Linked DNA regions of Saccharomyces cerevisiae S288C. The protein of the gene in region 3 purifies or fractionates together with the protein of the main gene of each other region. This does not show direct contact. Each region holds a gene or a part of one and is shown on either strand. Other genes may lie near its edges.

Region 1 (4,077 bases), 230 kb from region 3:
AGTCCTCTCTGTCTTGACACTGTACCAGGTAGTAGCGTCTATGAGTGTGGTGTCTGATGGTGTGTGCGTGACGCTGGTGGCGTCGTAATGGATTAGTTTGGATAAGTCAAGGAATAGCTCTTTACAGGTGGCTTGATTCGTGAGGGATTTCCAGTCCTGGCAGGGCAGACAAAGCTCAAAAACCAAGTCTATGTCCATGAGTAGCACTTCGTTTAACACTTTTGTAACATTGGTATTGGAATGGCTATGCGGATATAAGTTTCTTATTATTCTAACATAGTATATCACTACGTCCAGTCTATCTAGTGGGTCCATCTTCATGGTTGTATCGAACAAACATTGGTGGAAGTCCTCGTAGTGATGTCTGTAGTTTCTCAAGTAGAACTGTATAGGGTCATTGTTCAGCTTTTGTTGCGATGACGGTGGTGTGGTGGTCGACGATGATGTGATAGAGTCTCTGGTCTTGTGCAGCGTCTTTTGCAGGTTCTTCAGGACCTGAATGAATTGTAATCTAGCTTCAAGAGAGTCCATCCTTGCTGTATACCTTTACCTGGCAGTGCTTTTGTGAGAAATTAACTACCATCTGGTATTCTTTTTCCTTTTCTTTCTAAAATTCTAGTTTTTCATGTTGTGCTTAATTAGGAAAAACAGTGAATTTGAACAGTTGCTGAAGTTGAGATCAGTCTTAAATATACATTGCTCAAAGAAGTACAAATACATATAAATATAAATATCTATGGTTTTCTCAACTAGTTATTATGTGGCATATACGAATGTTTTAGTGGTATGCTGGAAATGAATGTCATATGGTTGCGTTTTTCTCTGTAGAATCGGAATTCTTAGTGATATGTGCTGCCGGCGATGGTTGCGTCCGTGGCTGATTTGATGCTGCTGTGCTTGTGGACAGATCAAGATATGGTTTCACAATGAAAGGCCGCTGTAAGTAGTTGTAGGGCCCCATCAGGAAAGAAGATGACGGGTCTTGATTGCTCCCATTTATAGTAAAGTTCATGTTCACGTTCACGTTGCTGTTAAGGTTGTGGTTTGAATTATGATTAATGCTGTGGTCGGCGTTGTAATTTGAATTCACGTGGCCGCCAGAGTTTCCCGTTGAAGATAACAGGATCTTGTGGGTGATGAACGGCTTGGGCGGAACGACGTCCACTCTCTGTTGCTGTAGTAGTTGTTGCTGCTGCTGCTGCTGCTGTTGTTGTTGTTGATCCATGAATGACTGATGGGTATAATCCAGAGATGGAGGCAATGAAGTTGACGCCGCTGCTGCATGCGGCGGTGGTGCTGCTGATGAATTATGAGCTGAGTGAGACGACGGGCTGTGCGTCAACTCTCTCAGTGCGTCCACAGCTTCCATGTCCCTGGAACTAATAAGACGCGACTCCTGATCTTGCTGAGACCCGTCGGTCTCTTTACCCCCAGTATCTTGCCTCCTCCTCCTACCACTGCCAGGCTTTCTTCCCTCTCTCAACGTCTTCCCTTTTCCGGGCTTTCTGCCGCTTCCAGGTTTCCTTCCTTGTGCCAAAGTTTTCGCCATCACCCAATGTCCTGCTCCAATATACTTTAGGACAGTTTGTAGATTCACAAGGTGATCTGTTCAAAAACTCCACTGACAATAATAGAAATTTTTTTTTTTTCATTTTCTTTCAAAACTCATCACCAAAAAAAAAAAATTGATGCATTAGCATCGGCTTCATAAACGAAAAAAAAAAAAAGAAGTTGAAAAGAAAACATGATATAAATAGTTGCAAACTAAAGTAAGATAACTGAAGATGATTAGTCCTGTTTGCATACATAGTTCTGTTCTTGTTCTACGCTGATGCGATCAATAAAGTCGCTTGAAACGCGACTGGTAGAAGCCAGCTTAAGCACAAATGGTGTATATGGGAGTGTTACCCGATGCTTTTATGTAGAAAATCTTGAACTCTTTAAAAAAGAGAGTAAAAGCAATGGAGAGAGAGGCAAGCAAGCAAACAAACGTGTAATTGAGGGACTCATAAAGGGCAATGACTTCCAAAACGTCAGAAAGTGGTACCGGTACCCAAAGTACCATAGTTCAGCTGAGGAACCTACCGGATTTGACGGAAATTAGTCACTTGGAAATAGATGCTCCCGTAGTTGAAATTCTAAAGAAAACAGTACTTTTCCAGTTGAATTCGTTGAACATCTGCATTTCAAACTTTGCATTGGATGAGCTGGTCAACCTCGTGACCGTCCAAATGGACGGCATGTTTCGGAACCTGCACAATTTAACACTTTTACAAAGAAGGTCGCAAGCTTCTCAAGCAGATTTGAAATTGTTGCTTCGAGAGTTTAACCTGGATGCGCCCTCCCTTTATCAGCAGTTTCAGGCCTCAGAATTCATCAAATCGAAGCATTCCACGGAATATGAAAAATTGATGAGCTGGTCGTCTCTTGCTGCTTTACCGCATAACGAAGAAGATGAAGAGGACGAATTGAATAATATCGAGGAGCAACAGAACGAGATCAACGTTTTGCTGCCTCCCTCTAACCCACTGGAAAAACAGATACCGAGTTGGCTGCCCAACTTTCCGCCTGACCATACCTATAAGTTTACACCTGAGTTCAACCATCCAATTACTGATCTAAAAACCATCAAGAAAGAAATAGTAAAAGAAAGCCAAGAGTCTGAAAAGGCACTATTGAACTTGAACAAAAGTCTCTCCCACATATCATCAGCGTCAAATACCCCGCAACCGCCGGGTTTAGACGATGAGGACGCTATCGAGCAACAATTGGAGATTTGGGGCAACGCGCTGGAAGAAAGGAAACCAACCATAACTGAAAAGTCCTTCAATGAAAACAATATCGAGCAGTATGCGAAGTATAGAGTGGAATTGGCGAGAGAACGTGTCACGAAATTTGAAGTGAATCAGTTGAAAAGAACAAAAAATCCATTCTTGAAAATTTCTGAAACTCTCTACCTTCCAGAGAGTCCTCACCAGTCTCACAAAACCATACAAAAAACCATAGAATTGCAATTTCGTAAGTCTATGACACTATTCATGCACAATTTACCTAAGGTCCAGAAGTTGAAGAAGGAAAAAATACGAATGGCCAAGGAAGAAAGAGCAAAATCGCTAAAACGTCGGCAAGAAGAGCTTATTTCACAACGAACAAAGAGGGAACAAGATGAAGGCCATGATCTTGAGCTTCTACTAAATAACGAGCACGCAAGGGACGCTGCAGACGACACGACCACCCCTAATGCATTAAACAACTCTACCATAGTTATCAACACAAACGCCGAGGATGAGGACGATGACATAAACTTATTTGGCATCTTAGGGAGCAGTGAAGATGAGAATGAAATGTCGAGTATGCCTGCGGAGAACCTGGTCGCGGAATCGGAACCGCCAACAATGACAGCGCAAGATACTACAAATACTACACCTGTAGCACATAACACAACCAATATCGATGCTACTACAAGTCACTCTCCTCATTCGACGCCTAATGAAAACGCCCCGACATCTCCTCCTGCAGATATAGCCACAGATCACGATATAACTATGTAAACAACTGCTTTCAGTGAACCAGTGTTTGTCCCTAATATAATAATACGTATTCAATTTATCTCCGGAGAGGAATTTTTTTTTTTTTTTTTTTTCGTTCTTCGGCGACTATACCGAAACAAGGCTTGAAATATTTAGAATCAAAGAAAGTTTACGTCTTGTAAATTAGTAAATGGTAACGTGAAAGAAGTAGACGTAAGGGTGCAGTAACAGTCATTTGAGCTTGTTGACCTACCAATTAACACAAAAAAATGGGCATGTTTTTTAATTTAAGGTCAAATATAAAGAAGAAAGCCATGGACAATGGACTAAGCCTGCCCATTTCAAGGAACGGTAGCTCGAACAACATCAAGGACAAACGCTCAGAGCATAACTCCAACTCATTAAAGGGCAAATACAGGTACCAGCCGCGCTCCACACCGTCTAAATTCCAGCTTACGGTGAGTATCACATCTCTTATTATTATCGCCGTTCTGTCGTTATATCTCTTTATATCATTTCTCTCCGGAATGGGCATTGGTGTATCCAC
Region 2 (6,652 bases), on a different chromosome or scaffold from region 3:
CCATGTTCCTGTACCCCAAGATAGCACAAGCGTTCACTGCGTCAGTTGCGGCAATCTTTGCCCTGCACATCTTGAGACTCTATGTTGACTGGTCGTACACATACAACATGAGATTCAACATTTTTTTCGGTGTTTTACAGTATATTTTATTGATAATGTTATCATGCCAAAACTACCATGCTCTGCAAAAGCAAAAGCTAATGGGCGAATTCAAGAAAACCGCGTACTCCAGCTTCAAGCGGCAAATCTTCAAACTGTGTGTCATTCCAATTCTTCTTGTGATTGTAACCACAATGGCCATGTCATTGGAACTGTTTGACTTTTTTAGTTACGAATGGCAGATTGATGCCCATGCGCTATGGCATCTGTGCACAATATGGCCCTCGTGGGTATTGTACGACTTTTTCCTCGAGGATTATGCCTATTGGGGTAATAGACAATTGTACTAAATATCTTAATTCACCTGTTTACTATCATGAATAATAGTTATATATGTATTTTTTTTTGTTTATTTTTGATTTTCTTTTACCGTTATCACATTCTGTTTATTTTTCACTTTTTTTTCGCTCTTTCTGTATGTATAGAACTAAATGCAAAAGAATATTTGTGCCAAGATAAGGCCAAGAAATTTTTGGGGCAACAGTAGGCAGTGAAAGCGCTCTTAACGTACTTTGGCAAAGGATGATCCCAGCTCCACTTGATGCTTCCTTATTGAGAGAACATGCATTCCAAGGAACTAATGATCTAAGCACAGTTTTGAGTCCAAGTACGTTTACCGATGAAGGTGGATATAAACCTGTATTGAAATACGGACTCGGTTATTTCAATTATGGACTGGTTATAGACGATGAAGTGTATGATTATTCAGTGTGTGATATCATAAGGGGTCACGTTTACGATCATTTTTGGTGTTATTTCTGTTGTTTCATGATTTTGTTTACTATCTGGTTAATAAGTTTAAATTGGTGTCCCAGCAGCAAGAAAAGCAAGTTTGATTGGAGCAAGAAGAAGGACGACTTTAAGATGGAAGGAGGTGATTTAGAGTACCAACATGTAAAGATCTAAATCTACATCGTTCTCAGGACGACTTATTACTGCTGGTTTCGAAGGAATAACAATGCATTTTTTTATCCCACCATTTTCCTCGTTTATTACAAAAAGCAATGAAATAATATGTATATGTCTACATAGAGATATTATTATAGTAATAATGCATTTTCTATTTGATTTTAATTTAATTTATTTTATTTTTTTTGGATGTTTAAAGTTGAAAATAATAAAATGATTAACTATTGACAGAGGGGTAAGTGGGGTTGTTACCTTTTTCCTTTTGGTTAAAGGAATAAATGTTTTCTTATAACATAAAAAAAGCTATAGTTATATAAACAAGGATTGCGAATTCTTAGAAACATATTCCATGGTTATTTTTTTTATTTTTTACTGCATTCAATTATTTGAAGAAACTGTCCATCAAACATAAGTTTCTTGATAATGTGCTGTTTGTAGTGAACTAGAATTGTTATAATAATATGCTGCAATTTTTATCAGATTGCTTCAAAATCTGAGTGATAATTGTATTTTTTTTATTTATTTAATCCAAGAGTTATTCTAAAATCGCACTAAAATTAGTAAAAAAATCAAAAAAAAAAAAGCTGCAGACATCTAAAATGGTTGTGAATCATTCTTGCGGATATCGTGCTACAAAATCAGTCTTATTTAATTCAATAAAATACATAGAACTTTCAATATAGTGAATATTTTTGGTATTACCTTAAGTAACCGGGTAACACTTAAATACTTTTGCCGAATGGGGCAATTGGTAAATTGCGTAAGATGAAAACTATAGTAAAATGGAACGGATGTAAAAGTATTTTTTGATGAAGTTTTGGACAGTGAAGAGGTGACAACAGGATAAATAGGTGGACTTCATGATGTCCTTTTCCAAAAACGCCACTCCTAGAGCCATTGTTAGTGAATCTAGCACTTTGCATGAGATGAAGTTTAGAAATTTTAGAGTTGCCCATGAAAAAATCTCGTTGGATATAGATCTAGCTACTCACTGCATTACCGGTAGCGCTACTATAATAATCATTCCGTTGATCCAAAACCTAGAATATGTAACTTTTGATTGCAAGGAAATGACTATTAAAGATGTTCTGGTCGAAAATCGTCGATGTGATCAATTTATTCATGACGACCCACTTCAAACAAATTTGAATGGATTGACTTCACAAAATGTATTATACAGCGACAATTCCATTGAACAGTCACATTTTTTGAGATCTAAGTTTGCTAGCTTGAATGAATACCCAGAAACGGACTCTAAATCCCAGTTAACTATAAAAATACCATCTTCCATCAAAATATCTTTGGAGGACGCCAATGCATTAAGTAATTACACTCCGATTACTCCTTCAATTAAGACTACCCCTGGGTTTCAAGAATCTGTTTTCACTCCAATTACATTACAAATTGAATATGAAATCAGAAACCCAAAGTCGGGTATTAAATTCGATACTGTGTATGCTGACAAGCCCTGGTTATGGAACGTTTACACTTCAAATGGTGAGATTTGCAGTTCTGCATCATATTGGGTCCCATGTGTCGATTTGCTTGATGAAAAATCTACATGGGAGTTAGAATTCAGCGTACCGAGATTGGTTAAAAATATAGGTACTTCGAAATTAATCGGACAAAATGGAGAAGAGAGTGAAAAAGAGAAGGAGGATACGCCTGAGCACGATGAAGAGGAAGAGGGGAAGCCGGCAAGAGTTATCAAAGACGAAGATAAGGATTCTAACTTGAAAAATGACGAAGAAGGCAAAAATAGTAAAAGCAAAGATGCACAAGATAATGATGAAGAAGAAGAGGAAGGCGAAAGTGACGAAGAGGAAGAGGAAGGGGAAGAGGAAAGGCGGAATATTGAGGAAAGCAACAATCCGAGTTTGAGGGATGTGATTGTGTGTTGTTCAGAATATTCAAATATTAAAGAACTTCCGCACCCGATTGATTTGACGAAAAAAAAATGCATATTTCAGATAATTAATCCTGTGGCTCCACATCACATTGGTTGGGCTATAGGCGCCTTTAATTCATGGTCTTTACCTTTGATATCACCTCCAAGTGTTGATGCCGAGGACGAAGTAGAGGAAGACAAGTTGAGAGAGAATGTTGTGGACAATGTTAACGATACTATGGATGACGACATTGGTTCGGATATTATACCCATTCAAATTTTCACACTTCCGACGCAGGAAACAGATGAGTTAACAGTTATAAATTCGACAGTTGTCTGCCAAAAAATTATAGATTTCTACTCGAAAGAATTTGGGTCTTATCCTTTCACTTGTTACTCTATGGTGTTTTTACCTACCGCACCTTCTAAGCATATGGATTTTGCAGCATTAGGCATTTGTAATACCAGATTATTGTACCCTCTAGAAGTTATTGATAAAGCATTCAGTACTACGAATGAGTTAGCATGGGCACTTGCTAACCAATGGTCTTGTGTGAATATAACTCCTTTAGATATGAACGACTACTGGTGCTGTCTTGGTATTGCTGGTTATATGGTGTTTCAGGTAACCAAAAAATTAATGGGTAATAACACGTATAAATATCAATTAAAGCGTAATAGTGAGGCGATTGTGGAACAAGACTTCGAGAAACCGCCTATTGGGAGCACTTTTACCGGCAGTTCTAGGCCAATATCTTGGTCTTCTAAAGATTTGTCCTTTATACAATTGAAGGCACCGATGATACTACACATACTTGACAGAAGGATGACTAAAACAGAACGATCTTTCGGTATGTCTCGAGTATTACCTAAAATTTTCCTTCAAGCTATGTCTGGTGATTTACCGAATAATTCGTTGACTTCATCGCATTTTCAACATGTTTGCGAAAGAGTTAATAAAAGTAAATTAGAGAATTTTTTCAACGAATGGGTATATGGGTCTGGGGTACCCATATTACGTGTCACCCAAAGATTTAATAGGAAGAGGATGGTTATAGAACTGGGTATAAGGCAAGTTCAAGATGAAGAACTTGGCCACGAAAAAGTGGTAGGGGAGGAAGGATTTTTCAAAAGTGCACTAGACCACTTAGAACATCCAGATTTGAACCGAACCGAATGCTTCACGGGCTCGATGACTATAAGGATCCATGAACACGATGGTACTCCGTATGAGCATATTGTGGAAATCAAAGATACATTCACAAAAATAGATATTCAGTACAATACAAAGTACAGAAGATTAAGGAAAAGAGGTGGTGGTGCAAATGATGAAAATGGTGTTGAAAACAATAATGAGGAGAAGCCTATTGTTGTGGATGTGAATTGTCTAGGAAATGTATACATGTCGCCCGAAGAGTGTTCCCGATTCAGTTTGACGGAATTTAATCGTACGTCTGAGAGTAATGAATTGCTTAAGCAAAACGAAGCATTTGAGTGGATACGCATAGACTCTGATCTGGAATGGATTTGCCAAATGCACATTAATCAGCCGGATTACATGTTTTCTTCTCAGTTGAGACAAGATGGGGACATAGAGGCCCAACTAGAAGCCATACGATATTATGAGGACGTCGTTGTTAATGGTGGTGTGAAATCACTTGTTTATTCAAGTATTTTGTTTAGAACGGCGATCGACGAGCGTTACTTTTTTGGCATAAGACTCGCGGCGTGCGAAGCGCTTAGTAAATACGTATATGATCCGGATTTTACTGGCGGTGTTAAGCATTTAATTCAGATTTTTCAGATTTTGTTTTGCCTAGAAGACTCTAATATTCCAAAGAGTAATAACTTTGAGAATCCTAAGTTGTATTTCTTACAGTGTAATATTCCCAAATATTTGGCTAAAGTGAAAAATGAAAATGGTAAATGTCCAAAATTGGTGAAGCAATTTTTACTGGATATTCTTGTTTATAATGAGAATGGTGAAAATAAATACAGTGATGATGCGTACGTCCGCAGCTTGATTGAAAATGTTGTTAAAGTTGCTTTAAATGAGTATAAAGATAAAGCATATATGGAAAAAGTTAAGACTCAGTTATTGAGGTACGAAAATTTGGTGAATTGGCTTTCATCATACGAGTCTTTGATTAAGACTACTATCATGTATGCTAAGTACAAATTGCATAAAGTGGGTGCTTATGACTTTACGGAATTGACAGGAATGATAATGCATACATTAACATTAGGTATAAATAACGGAGATATTTCCAGGGAAAGCTTTCAGAATGAGTTTTTAATGGTTTTGAAAATCATGCTTTTAGAAGGTGGTTTAAAAAACAAGGATGCCCTTGTTTTGTTTACTGAAATACTTTGCTTCCATGAGGATTCTTATATTAGGGATAAAAGTGTTGATGTGCTTTCTGAATGTGTAAATCTAGTTGTTATGGATGGTAGTTTGGATACCATAAGTGACGATATTAAGTCCTCCGTCCAATCTGTGCACAATGAAGTTAAAAATATAAAAAGTGAGGATGATATTGAGTTGTTTTTAAGTGGTCATTACGTCGATGATATGAAAATAAAAATAGAAAAGATTGGCCGTCAAAATATTAGTGGGTTAATACAAATATGCCGAGATATGTTTAAAGGGTATAGCCCTTTGAAGATATTACTCTGGGATGTTTTGAATTTACCTGTTCTTAGCTTGTACCAGAGGAAGCAAATACATGATCTTGTTAGGGTGATGTACACCCTAATCAACAGTTTTGTAGTTAGATTGGAAACACCAAGGGAGAGAAGACTTGTGGCGAAGATGAATAGTAATGAAGAAGGTAAACTTGATATTGTTATAAAGCGTGAAAGTATCCTAAAAGTACATATTAAAAAGGAAGTAACCTCTACTGTGGAGGCACCCAAGAAGGCGAATAAGATAAAGATAAGTTTGAAAGGTGATAAACCTGTTAGAAAAGTGGAAAAACAAATTGTGAAGCCGAAGGTAACTAGCAAACAAAGGAAAGTCAAAAGTCATGTGAACCGCATGGGCAGTTTACCTTTACGGTTTGTTAAGATCCAACAACAACCTAGAGTAATGGTGCATTTGTCATCCGTCCCGTATAGCCAATTCGTTCAAATTACAAAAGTCACATCAAGATCGTTTATGGTTAAGATAAGAACAAAGAATGATGCTAAGAATTGATTGTTTGCTTGAGTCTGAGTAATATCATATTTTATACAAATACATAGACATAAACAAAAGAGGCAAGTAGATAAGGGTATAGCCATATGAGTGTATAAACAAACATTGGGAACAAGAGCAAGACGATGGGGAGTTTCAAATAGGATAGCTATACTGACAACATTCAGTACTCGAAAGATAAACAACCTCCGCCACGACCACACTCTATAAGGCCAAATGTACAAACACATCTTCCCAATATCCGTCACCACGTACTTCAGCATAATTATTCGTCAACCACTCTACAAAACCAAAACCAGGGTTTATAAAATTATACTGTTGCGCGAAGTAGTCCCATATTCCGTGCTGCATTTTGTCCGCGTGCCATTCTTCAGCGAGCAGAGAAGACAAGACATTTTGTTTTACACCGGAGCCAAACTGTGAGTAATATGCTCTAAAAGCCATAAATGAGTTTAAATATTTCTTTGAAGATTTTATAGATGTCTTATTGAACTGTCGAA
Region 3 (3,471 bases):
AACTGGCATGAGCCAAACTCCCAATATAGCGGCCAATGAGACAGTTATAGATAAGAATGATGCTAGAGATCAGAATATAGAAGAATCTGAAGCCGACTTACTTGATTGGACTAACAACGTTAGAAAAACATACAGACCTCTAGATGCCGACATCATCATCATTGAAGAGATACCTGAAAGAGAGGGTTTACTTTTCAAGCACGCAAACTATTTAGTGAAACATCTCATTGCTCTTCCAAGTACCTCGCCTTCTGAAGAACGTACTGTCGTAAGAAGATACTCTGATTTCTTATGGTTAAGAGAAATTCTGCTGAAAAGATACCCTTTTAGAATGATCCCTGAGCTACCTCCCAAAAGAATTGGATCCCAAAACGCAGACCAGCTTTTTTTGAAGAAAAGAAGAATAGGGTTATCTAGATTCATTAATTTGGTAATGAAACACCCTAAATTAAGTAATGATGATTTAGTGTTAACATTTTTAACCGTACGCACTGACTTAACAAGTTGGAGAAAGCAAGCAACCTATGACACTTCAAACGAATTCGCTGATAAAAAGATATCACAAGAATTTATGAAAATGTGGAAAAAAGAGTTTGCAGAACAATGGAACCAGGCTGCATCTTGTATCGATACCTCGATGGAATTATGGTATAGAATCACGCTTCTCTTGGAAAGGCATGAAAAAAGAATTATGCAAATGGTACACGAAAGAAATTTTTTTGAGACACTAGTGGATAACTTTAGCGAAGTGACTCCAAAACTATATCCGGTACAACAAAATGATACCATATTGGACATTAATAACAATTTGAGTATAATTAAAAAACACCTAGAAACTACGAGTAGTATCTGCAAACAAGAAACAGAAGAAATATCGGGAACGTTATCGCCAAAATTCAAAATTTTCACGGACATCTTACTTTCTTTGAGAAGTTTATTTGAGAGATACAAAATTATGGCTGCAAATAACGTAGTTGAATTGCAAAGACATGTCGAATTGAACAAAGAGAAATTGGAATCGATGAAAGGAAAACCAGATGTCAGTGGAGCAGAGTACGACAGGATAAAAAAAATCATACAGAAGGATAGAAGAAGCATAATAGAGCAATCAAACAGAGCTTGGTTGATAAGACAATGTATTTTGGAAGAGTTTACAATCTTTCAGGAAACCCAATTTTTAATAACACGTGCCTTCCAGGATTGGGCAAAATTGAACTCCAACCATGCCGGTCTCAAACTGAATGAGTGGGAAAAGCTCGTCACAAGCATCATGGATATGCCGATTTCTCGTGAATAAATTTTACGGAGTGAAGACTAACCACTTAGTCTGCCAAAACATTATTGAAGGATATCCAACAGATGTAATTGACGTACTAAACAGAGAAATAATTAGGTAAATAGAGTAAAGATATGTACCACTATAAATTGTTATTTATTTGTTTTTCAATTTTAAATACAGTGTATGAAGCCTAATTCGGATATTATAGGTTCCCATATTTATTAGAAGGTAACAAATCTTTCGATAATTTGGATTAGATAGCCTTATAATATGCCGGACAAACGACGCCCGCTAAAAATGTGTATTCTCCAGTATTCAATATTCGTCATAAATGATCTTAATTTGAAAAAGTGAATGAACTGAACATCGATAAGTCGAATGTGGTCCGTGTAATAGCTCAAATGGGAAAGTTTTTCTAATCAGCATTCTGTATAACCTCACCTGCACGTAATCTAAAGTGCTTTTATCGATTGGTAGTGCACATATTGTCTTTCGGCATCATATCACATAATGGCAAATTCGCCGAAAAAGCCATCTGATGGCACTGGAGTATCAGCGTCAGACACGCCTAAATATCAACATACCGTCCCAGAAACGAAACCAGCATTTAATTTGTCACCAGGTAAAGCTAGTGAGCTATCACATAGCCTTCCGTCGCCTAGCCAGATAAAATCAACCGCACATGTATCTTCAACTCACAATGATGCGGCAGGTAATACGGATGATTCTGTTCTTCCTAAAAATGTATCACCCACAACTAATTTGAGAGTTGAAAGTAATGGAGATACAAACAATATGTTCTCTAGCCCTGCTGGACTAGCTCTACCAAAAAAGGATGATAAAAAAAAAAACAAGGGTACGAGTAAAGCAGATTCTAAAGATGGCAAAGCATCCAACTCCTCAGGACAGAATGCACAACAACAATCAGACCCAAATAAAATGCAAGATGTCCTTTTTTCCGCAGGTATCGATGTTAGGGAGGAGGAGGCTCTTCTAAATTCATCTATTAATGCCTCAAAATCCCAAGTTCAAACAAATAACGTTAAGATCCCCAACCATTTACCATTCCTTCACCCGGAACAAGTTTCCAATTATATGAGGAAAGTCGGAAAAGAGCAAAACTTCAACCTGACCCCTACAAAGAATCCTGAAATTTTGGACATGATGTCAAGTGCCTGCGAAAACTATATGAGAGATATCCTAACAAATGCCATTGTCATCTCCCGACATAGAAGAAAAGCAGTCAAGATAAATTCTGGTAGAAGAAGTGAAGTTTCTGCGGCTTTAAGAGCCATTGCACTAATTCAAAAAAAAGAAGAAGAAAGGCGTGTGAAAAAAAGAATTGCGTTGGGACTCGAGAAGGAAGATTATGAAAATAAGATTGATTCCGAAGAGACGTTACACAGAGCATCGAACGTTACGGCTGGCCTTAGAGCAGGTAGTAAAAAACAGTATGGTTGGCTAACTTCATCAGTAAATAAGCCGACGTCCTTGGGAGCAAAATCTTCAGGCAAAGTCGCCTCCGACATCACGGCTAGAGGAGAAAGTGGGCTAAAGTTTAGAGAAGCTAGAGAGGAGCCTGGTATAGTAATGAGGGATTTACTCTTTGCTCTCGAAAATAGGCGCAACAGCGTTCAGACTATTATTTCAAAGGGTTATGCCAAGATCAGAGATTAATTGCTCATCTCTTATACTGTCTATAATATTTAAAGGTATAGTGTTTCAAATAAACTAGGATATAAAAAAAACAAGATTGACTAACATAAAGAAGGCCGGTTGGTGTCGCTTAGTCAAGTCATCGCCAAGCTATTGAGGACCATTCAACCTTTTTGCTTTGTTCATTTTAACTTTATAATAAGGAAGATATATCAATCCTTGAAGTTAGGCATCCTTCTACCAAAAATAGCGGAAAGAGGAGTGATAATCGGGAAAAAAATTTTCATATTAATACACATTTTTATACATTTACTTGTCATTATCCTTTTGGGTGAAAGGATGTATTATGTATTGTTTCTCAGAAGGGCTTCTAAATTAGTCCAAATAATGCTGTTATGGCACCTAACAAACTCATTAGAGTATTAGTGTTCGCATAGGAAATAGCCGCAGCATTCGCTTTGTTTGCCGTAGAGGAAGAAGAACGAGCTGTAGAGGAAGAAATTGAAGAGGATGAAGAATTTGAGTTTAAAGTTGTA
Region 4 (3,460 bases), on a different chromosome or scaffold from region 3:
AGCATTGCACCATATCATCCGATACCGACTCTGATTCTGGAAATGCTAAAGCCAAAAATGACAATAGCAGTACGCAGCGTATCCTTGATGAACCAGGTGTTCCGATATCTTTAATCGAAAACATAAACAGTAACGTCCGTGGTAAAAGAGGAAAATTGAAGAAAATTCAAAAGAAATACGCCGACCAGGATGAAACTGAACGTCTCTTGCGTTTGGAGGCCTTGGGTACTTTGAAGGGTATCGAAAAGCAGCAACAAAGGAAGAAAGAAGAAATAATGAAGCGAGAAGTTAGAGAAGATAGAAAGAATAAACGCGAGAAACAAAGAAGACTACAGGCTTTAAAATTCACCAAAAAAGAGAAAGCAAGAGTGAACTATGATAAACACAAGTCCGAATTAAAACCATCTCTCGATAAGGGCGATGTGGTTGATGATATTATACCAGTATTTGCCCCCTGGCCTGCGCTTTTGAAATATAAATACAAAGTCAAAATACAACCGGGAAGTGCGAAGAAAACTAAGACTTTAACTGAAATTTTACATTATTTCAAGAGTAGACCACTAGACGGTTCTTCAACTGACAACGAAATGGATTGGCCCCAAGAACATGAAATGATTAAAGGCTTGAAGGAACAGGACTTGGTTCTTCTGCTCTGTGTCGACAAGTTAAAAGTAACAATCGCTGGGCAGAAATCCACCAAGAACGGTGGTAACTCTTCGAAGAAGGGCAAAAAAAAACGCTAAATCATATGAGATGAAAAGAAAATAGACAGCAATTATAATTTTTTCATTATTTTTCATCACAGACCAACGAGAAGAATAAAATGATTAGCATGAGGTGACAATCATTTCTAAATGAGCAACATATACTTATATATATAAGTAGATACATATATATGGAAGGGAGAAAGTAAGACACTGCATATATACCATATAAGACCAGCTAAAATTTTCTTCTATCCGCTTTGCCTTGTGATCATAAGCCTTGCTGTAACCTTTCTTGAAACTTGCTCTTTGCGAAACCCCACGCGCCTAAGAAACCCTTATCCAAATCTAATGCCATTTGGGGTTCGTTCGTAGGTGGTTTAGAAACTCTGGATGCAATAGTGTTAGAGTCAGTTTCGAGGATAACACCATTATCAATGGTTTCATCAATAGCTAATAAAACCATATCATAGTTTTCTTGGATGTTTTTTTTGTCCATTCCTGAGTTCAAAATCAAATCCAAAGCTCCTCTGATTGCTGAAAATCCTTGCTGAAGAACAATTTCATTCTCTTCCAGCGAAGCAACTAAATATATCGTGATATCAATGTATTCTTTGTAAAGGACTAAATGATCCTCGAAGATTAAAATCTCCGAATCTTGCTTGTGAGTCTTACGGTATAGTTGTTTCTCAAACTCTTTTTGCTTCTTCACCGAATTGAAGAGCAATTGGTGTCCTTCATCAGATCTATGAGGAGGTTGATAATACTTTGCATAAATTCGTTCTCCTTGCTGATCTAGTATTAAAACAGCCTGAACAGTATATAGCGATAAAGAAGACATCCTGGAACAATGATGCACAGTACTCAAAATTAGCAAGCCAGCTCACAAACAAAACCTAAATGCCTAAAGAACTTCTGTCTAGCAATAACTTCGATATTCCACACCTTGTAGCCTAAACAATGCAAACGTGTTTTTTCACTTGACAGAAGTGGCGAAACGGGTAAGCTCGCGATGCTTTAGTTTTTTTTTTCAGTAATTTCATATTGCATGATGAAGGTATGCTAATATAACACTTGAAGTAGCTTCCTGAGCAATTCCAAATCACCTACTAGCGGAAAACAGCGATATCTTTGGGTCAATAGAGTTCCTCTGCTATGACTACAAATAATGACTTCTATTTTGCTCTACTACGCATATCTATTCTCCAATTATTGAAGGCACAAGGATTTGACAGGGCAAGGCCCAGTCTGGTGGATGTCATGACCGATCTCTATGCAAAATTCTTGAGTTTGTTAGCATCAGAGGTCAGTTCTATCGCTCAGGCAAGATGTGATCAGGACGATACAATTGCTTTACAAGATATAACTCTGGCTCTGGAAAATCTAGGTATTGTTAAGCCTACGAACGTTCTGGATGTCTATGATGAAAACTCCGAATTATCAAGTTCACGAGGAATGGAAAAGTTCAAGGACTGGTGTATTTATAGTACTCAATTGACCGACGCGCGAATAACTGCCTTACCCACAGTAGAATTACTACAAAGTGAGGAAAAAGAATCTGATCCTTTGTCAGCAATACCTGACTATCTCAATCAATTACTGCAAAACAAGGGTGCGAAACAGAAATTAGAAACAAAGAATAGAAAAACAGAGTTGATAGAAGATCTAATAAATAATAATGGATTAGATGATTGGATCAAATTAGTCATTGCTAGACAACGTATAAACATGATTGAAAGAGCTTCCAAAAAAGAATCTCAAAATGTACCGGCTTTACCACATATTGCAGGCTATAAATCTTCCATTCTAAGCCGCCATCACCACACTACCATAACAAACGAAGATAGGATGCCTTCGGCGATGACCCCAAGAGATGAGGATGCCTTAACAGAGATCCAAGAAAATCCATTTGTAACTAGCAAACTGCCGATAATGAGAAAAGAAAATAGGTTAGAAAATATAACTCTTTCATTTGAGGATGAGGAGCTTGAATCACTTGGCGAAGTGGAAGGCCCTAACCAAAAGTCTCAAGAAAATAACAATGAGGAAAGTTTTAAAGAGAACAATAAAAGTTTAACAGAGTCTCCTCATGGTGATGACCGTGACATATCAATGTTTCAATTCGACTCAAATGTTGATACTAAATGGGCAGAGCAGGAAGATATGGACAGCACATTTCAACGTCGAACCTCACTAGATTATGGGGGTTACTTTTAAAACGACATTTCTGCATTTTCTTTCGTCATTATCTCATCCATATTTAATTAACCTCACATTATTACTATATAGTGTACTTTCGCTTCTTCAAGATAATAAGCAATTAAACGCCCGATTCATTTTTTTCTTTATTTTAATCATTTTTAATATACAGTATTATAATATTCTTATATATACATATCTGATTTTTTCTCCAGGTGTGTAATTAGCCATATTGCTCAGTTTCAATCTTCTATAATTTTTTTCTAGATTTGAACTTTGGACCTTTCTTATTATGTTTGCCAATCTTGTTACCTTGATTTACTCTTCCTCTCATTAGCCTACTATCCTTTTCACCATCATCATCATCGCCAAATTCATCAGAGTCCTTTCCATTTTTCCTGAATTTCAGCTTGTTTCTTTGACCTCTTACAGGACCACTTTTCACAGCCTCTAGATACGCATTGATTCCGCTTGTCACAGCACTCAATGGATCGTCTACATTAGTAGAGGGTTTAGGTTGCCCCTTGACAACGAGTTTTCCTTCTGAGTCAAAGTTA

Evidence for each region.
Region 1: the proteins of TAF4 (region 3) and TAF8 purify together in Saccharomyces cerevisiae (affinity purification with mass spectrometry; 2 studies listed by BioGRID). This does not show direct contact.
Region 2: the proteins of TAF4 (region 3) and TAF2 purify together in Saccharomyces cerevisiae (affinity purification with mass spectrometry; 4 studies listed by BioGRID, with this or other methods). This does not show direct contact.
Region 4: the proteins of TAF4 (region 3) and TAF3 purify together in Saccharomyces cerevisiae (affinity purification with mass spectrometry; 7 studies listed by BioGRID, with this or other methods). This does not show direct contact.

The regions. Positions count from the first base shown.
Region 1 is NC_001145.3:41,517-45,593, reverse strand, and holds TAF8 (Taf8p), read left to right. Parts: upstream 1-2,018; coding exon 2,019-3,551; downstream 3,552-4,077. Other genes in the region: CTK3 (Ctk3p), read right to left, coding at 1-531; DAT1 (Dat1p), read right to left, coding at 803-1,549; VAN1 (Van1p), read left to right, coding at 3,800-4,077. UniProt on the Saccharomyces cerevisiae protein: Functions as a component of the DNA-binding general transcription factor complex TFIID. Binding of TFIID to a promoter (with or without TATA element) is the initial step in pre-initiation complex (PIC) formation.
Region 2 is NC_001135.5:200,674-207,325, reverse strand, and holds TAF2 (transcription initiation factor TFIID subunit TAF2), read left to right. Parts: upstream 1-1,928; coding exon 1,929-6,152; downstream 6,153-6,652. Other genes in the region: PER1 (Per1p), read left to right, coding at 1-449; YCR043C (uncharacterized protein), read left to right, coding at 682-1,065; YCR041W (uncharacterized protein), read right to left, coding at 6,083-6,415; MATALPHA1 (transcriptional co-activator mating type protein alpha), read right to left, coding at 6,357-6,652. UniProt on the Saccharomyces cerevisiae protein: Functions as a component of the DNA-binding general transcription factor complex TFIID. Binding of TFIID to a promoter (with or without TATA element) is the initial step in pre-initiation complex (PIC) formation.
Region 3 is NC_001145.3:274,256-277,726, forward strand, and holds TAF4 (Taf4p), read left to right. Parts: upstream 1-1,789; coding exon 1,790-2,956; downstream 2,957-3,471. Other genes in the region: MVP1 (Mvp1p), read left to right, coding at 1-1,297; PLB2 (lysophospholipase), read right to left, coding at 3,306-3,471. UniProt on the Saccharomyces cerevisiae protein: Functions as a component of the DNA-binding general transcription factor complex TFIID. Binding of TFIID to a promoter (with or without TATA element) is the initial step in pre-initiation complex (PIC) formation.
Region 4 is NC_001148.4:533,103-536,562, reverse strand, and holds TAF3 (Taf3p), read left to right. Parts: upstream 1-1,859; coding exon 1,860-2,921; downstream 2,922-3,460. Other genes in the region: RQC2 (Rqc2p), read left to right, coding at 1-743; RET3 (coatomer subunit zeta), read right to left, coding at 976-1,545; mRNA-binding protein RRP12, read right to left, coding at 3,154-3,460. UniProt on the Saccharomyces cerevisiae protein: Functions as a component of the DNA-binding general transcription factor complex TFIID. Binding of TFIID to a promoter (with or without TATA element) is the initial step in pre-initiation complex (PIC) formation.